Sus scrofa: one gene and its partners. The protein of the gene in region 3 binds, or shares a complex with, the protein of the main gene of each other region. Links are inferred from orthologs where the notes say so. Each region holds a gene or a part of one and is shown on either strand. Other genes may lie near its edges.

Evidence for each region. Proteins that work in one complex are often made in the same cells at the same time.
Region 1: TXNL4A (region 3) and SNRNP200 share a complex: the UniProt entries of both Homo sapiens proteins name them as parts of the U4/U6-U5 tri-snRNP complex. The link is inferred for Sus scrofa from reciprocal best matches to the Homo sapiens genes TXNL4A and SNRNP200.
Region 2: TXNL4A (region 3) and LSM5 share a complex: the UniProt entries of both Homo sapiens proteins name them as parts of the precatalytic spliceosome. The link is inferred for Sus scrofa from reciprocal best matches to the Homo sapiens genes TXNL4A and LSM5.

What each region holds. Positions count from the first base shown.
Region 1 is NC_010445.4:46,927,575-46,931,874, reverse strand, and holds the start of SNRNP200 (U5 small nuclear ribonucleoprotein 200 kDa helicase), read right to left. Parts: upstream 2,810-4,300; 5' UTR 2,651-2,809; coding exon 2,606-2,650; exon of another isoform or gene 2,474-2,605; intron 2,140-2,473; coding exon 1,976-2,139; intron 1-1,975. UniProt on the Homo sapiens protein: Catalyzes the ATP-dependent unwinding of U4/U6 RNA duplices, an essential step in the assembly of a catalytically active spliceosome. Plays a role in pre-mRNA splicing as a core component of precatalytic, catalytic and postcatalytic spliceosomal complexes.
Region 2 is NC_010460.4:40,751,044-40,755,198, reverse strand, and holds the start of LSM5 (U6 snRNA-associated Sm-like protein LSm5), read right to left. Parts: upstream 2,810-4,155; 5' UTR 2,717-2,809; coding exon 2,671-2,716; intron 2,660-2,670; exon of another isoform or gene 1,783-2,659; intron 1,668-1,782; coding exon 1,572-1,667; intron 737-1,571; coding exon 709-736; intron 6-708; coding exon 1-5. UniProt on the Homo sapiens protein: Plays a role in pre-mRNA splicing as component of the U4/U6-U5 tri-snRNP complex that is involved in spliceosome assembly, and as component of the precatalytic spliceosome (spliceosome B complex).
Region 3 is NC_010448.4:127,977,886-127,981,121, forward strand, and holds part of TXNL4A (thioredoxin-like protein 4A), read right to left. Parts: intron 2,888-3,236; coding exon 2,784-2,887; intron 1-2,783. UniProt on the Homo sapiens protein: Plays a role in pre-mRNA splicing as component of the U5 snRNP and U4/U6-U5 tri-snRNP complexes that are involved in spliceosome assembly, and as component of the precatalytic spliceosome (spliceosome B complex).

The sequences.
Region 1 (4,300 bases), on a different chromosome or scaffold from region 3:
ACTGCCATCGATTCCTAGAAAAGAAGACATATTCTGCAAATTGGAGGACCAATGATATATAACTCATTTCAAACGTAACTGCTTTACTCAAAACCGGGCCCACAAATTTTTGTGATTTCATCATGGAAGAGGAGAAAGACAAAGATGATGAGGGTCAAAAGATAACAATGAGATAAAGCTCAAAGATTTTGAGCTTTGGAAATATACTGCCCTCCCTCCAAAGTAAAAAATCAAAAAGAAAGCAAAACAAAACACCTGCTTTCATACTATGGATGCTTGAATGATATTTATAACAACAAAAGTGGAATTTGGTCTGCACAGCAAAGGAAACCATAAAAAACAAAAACAAAAAAAAACCTACAGAATAAGAAAAAATAGTTGCGAAGGATGCAACCAACAAGGGCTTAATCGCCAAAATATACAAACAACTCAGTAGAAGAAAAACAAACAACCCAACTGAAAAATCACAGAAGACCTAAATAGACATTTACTCAAAAAAAAGACATACAGATGGCCAACAAGCACATGAAAAAATGCTCAAAAGCATTAATTATCAGAGAAATTCATATCAAAACTACAACGAGGTACCCCCTCACACCAGTCAGAATGGCCATCATTAACAAGTCAACAAATAACAAGTGCTGGAGAGGGTGTGGAGAAAAGGGTACCCTCCTTCAGTGTTGGCGGGAATGTAAATTGGTGCAACTACTGTGGAAAACAGGATGGAGGTTTCTCAGCAAACTAAACAGAAAACCACCACATAATCCAACAATCCCACTCCTGGGCATATATCCAGACAAAACTATAATTCAAAAAGATACATGCACCCCTATGTTCACTGCAGCACTATTCACAATAGCCAAGACATGGAAACAACCTAAATGTCCACTGACAGATGAATGGATTAAGAAGATGTGGTACATATACACAATGGAATACTACTCAGCCATAAGAGAATAAAATAATGCCATTTGCGGCAACATGGAGATCCTCATACTAAATGAAATGTCAGAAAGAGAAAGACAAATACCACATGATATCAGTTACATGTGGACTCTAAAACATGGCACAGATGAACCTATCTACAGTATGGAAACATACTCACAGACATGAAGAACAGATTTCTGGTTGCCAAGGGGGAGGGGGGAGTGGTGGGATGGACTGGGAGTTTGGGTTTAGGAGATGCAAACTATTACATTTAGAACAAATAAGCAATGAGGTGCCGCTGTATAGCACAGGGAACTATATCCAATCTCTTGTGATAGGACATGATAGAAGATAATATAAGAAAAAGAATTATGCATGTATGTATGACTGGGTCACTTAGATATACAGCAGAAATTGACAGAACATTGCAAATCAACCATAATAAATTTTTTTTTTTTTTTTTTTGTCTTTTGCCTTTTCAGGGCCAAATCCACAGCATATGGAGTTTCCCAGGCAAGGGGCTGAATCAGTGCTACAGCTGCCAGCCTGCGCCACAGCCACAGCAATGCCAGATCCTTAACCCACTGAGCGAGGCCAGGGATTGAACCCACTAGTCGGGTTCATTAACTACTGAGCCATGAAGGGAATTCCCCATAATAAAATTTAAAAAAATAAAATAAAATGTAAAAACAGAAAAAATAGAAATGGACAAGGGAAGACAAAAGAAGTAGGAGTGGCAAGTTAGTAATAGAAGAAAAGAGTTACTGAGACAAGGGTTAACCAAGAATCTTGAAAATACCATGAAAAAATTAAGATCTCTCTATGGACAAGAAACACATGCTGGCAAAAGGTCTAAAAATTGTTTTCCACCTCAGGTACACTTGTTAAGGCCAAGAACCTTTCAATTCTTATATTCTGTTTTTACTTTCACTGAGTTTTAATGCCACTACGTCTCCTTGCACCAAGCATTTCAGCAAAAACACTGCCCAAATACCAAGAGAAAATGGACTTTGGATTTGAATAAAAATCATTTTCGCCTTATACTCACTTGGCTCTTCTTTCCTCTTGCATCTGTGGTTTGGTCCGTTGAGCCTTATCTCCCATACGGGTACCTTCCAACTTCCCAACCAGGGAGAGCACCTCTCCTGTGGGTTCATCCCGGCGGGTCCGGTCAATGAGAGAGCGGTCAGCTTGGAGGACAAGATTCGAGTTCTGAAAAGATAACAATATGATCGAAGTTCTGACGTGAGCAGGACCAATTCCTCTATCACAAGGTGATAACCATTAGTTGGAATAAGATATTTTCCTTAGAAAGAGCATCGTACAATTGCGCGTGAGACAGAGGTAATCAAATAGGTAGAACAATCCTTGCTCCTAACACTGCCCACAATAATTCTCACCTGGGAAAAGTTGGGGGTGACTTACGGAAGAGGGCAGGTAAAGCGCTGAGGGGACAGGGGACAAACACTCCTAGCAGAGCTCTTAGCCCATCCCACTCGTCCCAGACACCAGTGGGGTTATTAGTCTTATCATCATGTACCCACACCTTCGCCCGGATCTGACTTCCCCTCTGATTTGGCAGTTCTTCCGAAGGCCTTCAGACAGAAGCTCCCTTCCGCAGACTCCCGCTCCCCACCGAGGTCCCCAGCCCAGAGCCCTGCGCCGAGCCTGCACGCACCGCCTTGTACTCGTACTGCAGGCTACGGGCGGTCACATCCGCCATGGCCGCCGCTGCTCCGGGGTCTCAGCACTCCTCTTCCCCCACCGCACGCTCTCAACGGTCACGGATATCCGCTACCGCCGCGCCGAAACAACGCAGAAGAGACGCAATGGAGGGAGAAAGAGACGAGCTTACTTCCGCTTCCGGGTCGCTCGCCGGAAGTGCAGGTGACCGTATCTACGGCGTGTGCGTTCCTCTTTCCTGAGACCTTATGGGCTCGGTTGGTTGGACCGACGAATTCCGAGACCCTCAGACAATGGTTCCGGACCCACGTCCCGTACTTTCTTACACCTCGGCCTCCGGCCTCCAAGACTCCTCACATCATAGCGAAGCGTACGTCTGTTTACCCCCTATCCTGTCTCAAGCGCTTTTCTACCGGCTTCTTCCTCTGGAAACAGTCCTGTGAGCTATGCCGGCAAGGAGAAACTAATGAACCCCATTTCTGGCTGAGAAAACTGAAACACCTGTGTGCCTGTGTCTGATATCTTCCTTGGGTTTTTCCTCTATATTGAACGATTGAAAGAACGCTCTGTTCCCCACCTGTCCCACCTAAAACCCATGCCTCCGGAGCTCTCATTCTGGTCTCACTTTACGCGGCAGGGCCCTCCCCACGATTGAAGAACTTCGGTGAAAGCAGCTACCCTCCTGGCAGGCCAACTCCTTGAAGACAGTAACAATTTCTTCTCCAACAACGAAGCCTATCCGGGCCCTGGAGGCACTCCTGCCTTCCTATCCCCTGCCTTCCCATCCCGAGTTCTGCTCTATGGAATGGCAACTAATAGCTGAATAGTTATAGCTTGTTTGTTTTTGAAAGATTAAGGGAAGCTAAAGGAATTCATCCTCTATGGCTGATGGCCATGGCCGACAGCTGCTGGTCCAAATTTCCCCTACAGGAGTATTTTGTTTGACTCACTATCTGGGATTGTTGAAAGTTCCTGGTGGCCTTGCAGTTAGGACCTGGCGTTATCTCTGCTGTGGCTCAGGTTCTATCCCTGGCCTGGGAACTTCTACATGCCAAGGGTGCAGCAAAAAAAAAAAATAAATAAATAAATAGCAAAGGACTGACCTTCTTACATGGCTGACTTGCCTGGTGCTAATCAGCAACTGCCACTTTCATTAGATGCACATGTTCTTCCCACAGACCCTGTAATTGCTTGGCCCCTGTAGGCATGAGGTTTGCAGCCCTGAGAGTTTTTTGTATATATAACTGGGCCTTCCAAGAGACAGTCAAGTTCTGTGGCAGCTCTGCTCCTCAGTGGCTTTGTGACTTTGAGTAGCTGCCTTGTTTCTAGGTGAGTGTCATTTTGTCATCCTTAAAATTGAGGCAGTAAAACTTTCCTCTTAGGTCTTTTGGTAAATGAGATAGTGTGTTTAAAAGCACCAGCAGGGGTTCCCATCATGGCTCAGCAGTAATGAACCCAACTAGGATCCATGAGGATTCGGGTTCAATCCCTGGCCTTTCTCAGTGGGTCAGGACCCAGTGTTGCCGTGACCTGTGGTGCAGATCGCAGACATGGCTCAGATCCTGCATTGCCATGGCTGTGGCATAGGCCGGCAACTTTAGCTCTGATTTCACCCCTAGGCTGGGAATTTCCATATGCTTTAGATGAGGCCCTAAAAAGACACACACAAAGTACCAGCAAAGTGCCTGAC
Region 2 (4,155 bases), on a different chromosome or scaffold from region 3:
TTTCACTAAACAGATTTTTTAAAAAGTCAGGATAAAAATAAAGAAAAAATTAAAACAAAACAAAAAGTCAGGATAAACAGTGATTGTCAAAGCCAACATTTTGATTCCCCCAAAAGGCTAATTATTATATATAAATGAAAACATGAGACAAAAGTTATCCATTGGTTTATTCTTCCCCACAGGGAATAGAGTTGACGGGCTCATCTAAGATCCACATCCACTAGGGCTGATCTTCACTTAAAAAGCTAAAACTTGCCTAGGAGATCAAATATGAAATAAAATGTTTACTATCCTCATTTTTTTTAACCATTCATTTGCTTCTGCTTCCTATCCATTATACCATTCTGTAATCAATTCAATTCTGAAAGCAGATCTACTACTGGTCACAATCTTTATAATTAATATAATTGAGCCATCATTTACATTTTCTATATTCAATTCAAAGTATTAAATACTTTTGATCTGAGCCCTAAGATCCCTCACTGCTTTTAGTGTCTTTTACCTTAAAGCTTTGTTTCCACTAATTTCCTAACAATTAAGGTAATAATCCTACAATCCAATTTTACTAACCTCAGTCATAAAATTTCTATGTTAGTGATTCAAACAGGCAGTGTTTTCTCATACATCATTTTACTGACTCAACAGTGCTACAACTGCCTTAAAGAGAGATTCCCCCTGCCCAATTCTTTAATTTTTAACACTACTCACAATTCAGTGACATCTTCCAGTACCATATCTGAAATTTGGTGTTAAGAAAATATATACCATGTTAAATTTACTCTGGCTTCTGTCTTTGTTCAGTTTTAATTATAACATTGGGAGTTCCCATCATGGCTCAGTGGTTAACAAATCCAACTAGGAACCATGAGGTTGCGGGTTCAATCCCTGGCCTTGCTCAGTGGGTTAAGGATCTGGCGTTGCCATGAGCTGTGGTGTAGGTCGAAGATGTGGCTTGGATACATCATTGCTGTGGCTCTGGCGTAGGCCAGCAGCTTACAGCTCCGATCAGACCCCTAGTCTGAGTACCTCCCTATGCCGAGGGAGCGGCCCTAGAAAAGGCAAAAAGACAAAAAATAAAAATAAAAAAATAACATTTAACATAATGACTCAAATTCAAATTGCTTGCGATTGGTAGGGGTACACACACCCCTTAAAACACTACCACGAATTCCATGAGAATAAATTAATTTTTATTATAATAATCAGTAAGCACTGACTATAGTTCTTACTTTTTTAAAAAAAACTGAAGATGGAGTTCCCGTCGTGGCGCAGTGGTTAACAAATCCGACTAGGAACCATGAGGTCGCGGGTTCCGTCCCTGGCCTTGCTCAGTGGGTTAAGGATCCGGCGTTGCCGTGAGCTGTGGTGTAGGTTTCAGATGCAGCTCGGATCCCGCTTTGCTGTGACTCTGGTGTAGGCCGGTGGCTACAGCTCCGATTCGACCCCTAGCCTGGGAACCTCCATATGCCATGGGAGCAGCCCTAGAAAAGACATAAAAAATAATAACAAAAAAAAATTTTTTTAATTAAAAAACAAAGAAAAACCCATACCCCCACTTTTTAAAAGGATACTGACAAAGTCATCAAATCCGAGAAGCGTGCCAACAATCTCTTTATCACTCTTCATCACAATGTGAATTCTTGATCCTATACACTTGTCTACAAGCTCTATAGATACAGGTTTTTTAAAAGAAAAATAAGTGGGGGGAGGGGTGAAAAAAATTATTTTGCACATTCATTACTTCAAGAAATATGTGAGTACTTACTGGCACTTATTACTTACATATGGTGAAAGATAAACCAAGAAAAGGATTCACTCAAAAACTTCAGGTCTCGGGAGTTCCCGTTGTGGCGCAGCAGAAACGAAGGCCAGCAGCTACAGTTCCAATGGGACCCCTAGCCTGGGAACCTCCATGTGCCTCGGGTGCGGGCCTAAAAAGAAACTTTTTTTTGTTCAATGAAGGAAAAAACTTTCCAATTACCGCCACGTCCACTAACTTAATTACCCTTCAGATACAAAATATTAGAAAAAGACATAACTGTCTTCCCCAGCCCCAAGACGGCTATCCTCTGTTCTCTGAGAGCAGCTTGAATATCTCTTCAGCAGAATTACTGTTACTTGGTATGATGTTTAATTGTCTGGCATCCTGTCTCCTGCGCTGGCATGAATGCTACCTGAAGCTAAGTTACGATGTCTAGTCTACAGATGCGCAAAAACTGTTTGTGGAATAAATGAATGACAATCAGAGCTAATTTCCAGTGTCCCCTTTTAAAGCTCATTGCAGACCCCGCTACCTCTCTCAATAACGGGCCAGACAGACAACAGGGTCTAACCTAGGGATTTTAAATGCCAGGTAGAAGAATGGGACTGCTATCCACTACTGTAAAGGCGAACTCACAACAAAAAAGGCCGACGACGCATTCACTAAGTGTGAACCTTTTCCAGTGACGGTTTGGTGTGAGAACTCAGAAAGTCCTGGCTCAAGAAAACCCTTCCACGCCGAAAAGACGCGGGCGGCCTGAGGCCTCAGAGCCTTAGAGCCCAAAGAGCCGCGGATAAAGAAAACAATTGGTCAGATACATTTCTCTAACACTCAGTCAAGGACTGCGCTGGCCCTCGGCCCGCAACCCTTCAGCTCCCCTCCCCAGCTCCCCACAGGACAACGATTACCTAGAGGTAGCAGCTGCGACGGGTTAGTCGTAGCGTTAGCCGCCATGGCTACGCCGGAAGTGGCCAGCCTCTACCGACGTTGGGAAGGCGAGTTTGAAAGAGCGCGCTTCCGCTTTTTTCCCCTAGCCCGGCCAGGCTCGACCAATCTGAGGCCGAGCGTGCGATCGGGCCAGTCCTACGTGAATCGCTCGGAGTCACTTCTTTCCTCCGCAACGAGATCCGGGGGAATACATCAGTGCGTTGAACATTCTGCGGCCTCAGCAGATACTTTGCCCTCCAAGTTTCCAAGACAAATTAAAGATATCTTGCCTTATAAATAAAATATTCCTCAACCTGGAAGACTGCAAAATAGAAACGTTTGAGTCGTTTGATTTTCCCTGGGTTATATTTCATTTCAACCAAGGATCTTCTGAAGACCAACATAAATATTTTTTCCGCCACTGATTTTATTGTGTTGCAATTTTTGTTAAAAAACAAAAGCAAAAACTTTTTTTTTTTACAGGAATCTACCGCTTTTTTTTTTTTTTTTTTTTTTTTTTTTCTTTTTAAGGCCACAGAGCAGATACATGGAAGTTCCCAAGCTAGGAGTCAAATCGAGCTGCAGCTGCCGGCCTAGCCACAGCCACAGCAATGTGGGTTTGAGCCGCAGCTCGCAGCAACAAGGGGATCCTTAATCCACTGAACGACCCCAGGAATCCAACACACGCTCAGGTATACTAGTTGGATTCTTAATCCTCTAAGCCACAAAGGAGAACTCCCTACCTTTTTTTTTTTTTTTTTTTTCTTTTCTTTTCTTTTCTAGGGCTGCACCTGCAGCATATGGAGGTTCCCAGGCTAGGGGTCTAATCGGAGCTGTTGCTGTCAGACTACGCCAGAACCACAGCAACTGCCAGATCCAAGCCACGTTTGCGACCTACACCACAACTCAGGCACAACGCCGGATCCTTAACCTACTGAGCGAGGCCAGGGATCGAACAGGCAACCTCATGGTTCCTAGTCGGATTCCTTAACCACTGAGCCACCACAGGAACTCCCCTACCTTCTTTTAAAGGTTCAGTGTAGGAGTTTCCATTGTGGCTCAGTGGTAAGGAACCCAACCAGTACCTGGGGACAGGGGATTGGATCCCTGGCCCCACACAATGGGCTAAGGATCCGGGGTTGTCATGAACTGCAATTGTAGGTCTCAGACGTGGCTGGGATCTGCTTTGCTGTGGCCTAGGCCAGAAGCTACAGCTACGATTTGATCCCCTAGCCTGGGAACCTCCATAGACTGCAGAGTGCGGCCCTAAAAAGACCAAAGGAAAAAAAGTTTGCAAACCCATAGCTAGCTTTAAAGAAATACTTTTCTGGGGGTTCCCCTCGTGGCTCAAAGGTAAGGAACTGGATTAGTATCCTTGAGGACAAGGGTTCAATCCCTGGCCTTGATAAGTGGATTAAGGACCTGGCCTTGCTCTGAGCGCTGGTGTGGGTCGCACAGGTGGCTCT
Region 3 (3,236 bases):
GGCCACATGCAGTGAGAAGCAGGATCTAAGGCGGCACCCATATTCCCACCTGGAGGACTTTTGGAGAACTTTGAGAAGCATAACAGAAAAGGCCTGGATTGCCTTAAATAGCCTGTTAGTAGAAATATGGACTTGCAAGGAGTTAGGGACATGTTCCAGGGAGTGGAGGAAAGGGATCTTTGCTACACAGTGGCAGAATGTCTGTGACACTTGTAAGCGATGCATGTGGATAAGAGCTGAGAACACAGAAGTAAAGTCTTGAAGGCACTGCCTGGTTTCCTAGGCCTTATAGTAAAAGAAGAGAGAAACTGGTTGTAAAAACTGTCAACAACAACAACAACAAATTCTCAGCCTCTCCAAATAGCAAAAGATGCTGAAATCCAGAAATGGGTGCTGAACTCTTGACACAGAAGCCACATAACCTACTGAAACCTGGAAAAGACCTAAAGGTCAGAATGTTCAAAGGACAGGATCTTCTCCCAGGAAGCAACCAGCAAGCTCTGGCACCCAGGACAGACTCTACCTGCTCAGGCCGAGGGGAAGCACTACAACTTCATGCTGCTGGCAGGAAGCAGGCTGAAAAATAAGCCAGCTGAAATGCCATTCATGAAAAAGGCAGAAAAGGCTGGGGAGAACCCTCCCGAGGGCAGGCATTGGACCAAGAGGATGATCCTAGCCCTGCATCAAAGCCCTGCTCCTGGTGAACCCAGACTGTTCCCTATGCCTGTCCCACACTGTATCCTGGGGAGGGGCCACAGAGAAAGAGTGTCCAGGAGCTGGGCTTAATGGGTCACCCAGAGAAGCCTCATCCACACTCAGTTTTGCATACGAGAGGGATCTGAATCTTTGTGAGCCAAAGGGCAGACTGCAGTAGGCAGAATCCTAAAATAACCTCTGCTATTTCCTGCTCTAATCCTCAGGACTATGAGATGACATCATGCCTCCGATCAGTTACACTGCACTTCAAAGGGAATTCTGCAGGTATCCCTACAAGTACCCACCAGTTGACTTTAAAATAAGGAGATGCCCCAGAATTATACAGTCTAATCCATCAAGTGTGCCCTCTGAAAGCAGAACAGGAAGTTAGAGCAACTGTGTAAAAATGACTCAACTCTTGGTTGAGGGCTTCAAAGCTGGAGGGGCCTCTAGGAGCACAGAGGGGCCCAGGTGGAAAGACACCTCATTCCCATGTCCACCCAGAACTGGAAACTGGATTCAGCCAATAGTCCCCAAGAGCCAAGTAGATTCCCCCCTGACTGACTGCCTGGCTAAAAGCCCAGCCTGTGACTATGGCCTTGAGACCCCAAGACAGAACCCAGTGAGCCTGCCTGGACTGTGACCTACAGACCTTGGGCTCATAAATGGTGTTGTTTTCAGCCACCAAGTTTGGGCACACTGTCAAACAGAACAGAAAGCTAATCTACACCCTATATACTCTACCCAGAACTTCTCTAATTGTGAAGCTCTACCTCTGGAGTATGGCCTAATGTTTATGTTGCTATTTACTAACTTTTGTAGTAACAATAAACTAAGAATTTTTTTTCTTTTTAGGGCCACCCCCTAGACATATGGAAGTTCCCAGGCTAGGGATCGAATTGGAGCTACAGTTGCTGGCGTACACCACCATAGCCATAGCAACGCAGGATTCCAGCTGCATCTGTGACCTACACTACAGCTCACGGCAATGCCAGATCCCTGACCCACTGAGTGAGGCCAGGGATTGAACCCGCATCCTCATGTAAACTAGTCAGATTCATTTCTGCTAAGCCACAATGGGTACTCCAACAGTAAGAAATTTTGACAAGTAAAAACTGTGAAATGGTGATTCTTTCCAAATTAAATGTCCACAAGAGAATTTTTTTTCACTTGTGATGCTACTTAACTTTATAAACCCCAATCAAACGTATTTGCATCTGCATTGGACACCCATGTACCTAACCAGTAGCCACTCTATGTTCTCCTTTCATGCAAAGTTTGTAAATCATGGATACAAATTAATTTAAGGCGATTAGGGAAATTCTATTCCTTGAGTCAGTAACTGACTGATTAAAGTCCACAAAAGAGTTTTTGTCTTGTTTTGTTTTTAGGGCTGCACCCACAGCACATGGAAGTTCCCAGGCCAGGGACAGAACTGGAGCTACAGTGAGGTCAGGGATAGAACTGGAGCTACAGCTACTGGCCTATGCCGCAGCCACAAGCAGTGCCAGATCCAAGTCACGTCCGTGACCTATACCACAGCTCATGGCAACGCCAGATGTTTACCCCAATGAGTTGGGCCACGGACTGAACTTGCAGTTGGGTTCATTACTACTGGGCCACAAAAGGAACTCCAGCAACAGAATTTTTCAGCTGATAAAATAATCTTGTATTTCTAAGCAAAGTAATTAAGTAAAGGTTTTCCTTCTGGCTATCACAAAAGGACACTAAATAAAGTCATTGATATCATATTTAAAAAGTCAGTTATTTTAAACATTTTTTCATCAACATATTATACTTAAAGGTATCTGAAATGTCAATAAGAACATCTTCCACTTAATTACACTTCATTTAGTTTTCTGGGCAGTTATTTCAAAAGGGTAATGTGTTACTGTAAATGCTAAATCTGTAATTGCTACTTTGAAAATTATTTAAAAGATCACACTGATTGCCTGGTGACACAAACCATATTATGATATGAGTGCATAACTGACCTCCTCCTAAAGAAAAGAATCTAAAGATATCTTGATTACATTAAACTTCCAGACCATCTATTCAATTTAAATAACAACTTTAAGAGAACATACCTGAAGAAAAACATGACAGTACACGGATCATATAATTCATACATTTTGTTGAAGTCAGGTACTTCTGTGATATCCACAAGATAAATAACTGCAAAATTTTTAACCTAAAAGGAAAAGAGGTTGGGGAGAAAAAAAAACAAAATGTAAAATGACAAATCATTTTTTATTCCATAAAAGCACATTTAAAAACAAAAACAAAAAGAATTTGTGTATAGGGAGTTCCCGTCGTGGCGCAGTGGTTAACGAATCCGACTAGGAACCATGAGGATGCGGGTTCGGTCCCTGCCCTTGCTCAGTGGGTTAACGATCCGGCGTTGCCGTGAGCTGTGGTGTAGGTTGCAGACGTGGCTCAGATCCCGCGTTGCTGTGGCTCTGGCGTAGGCCGGTGGCTACAGCTCCGATTCAACCCCTAGCCTGGGAACCTCCATATGCCGCGGGAGCGGCCCAAGAAAT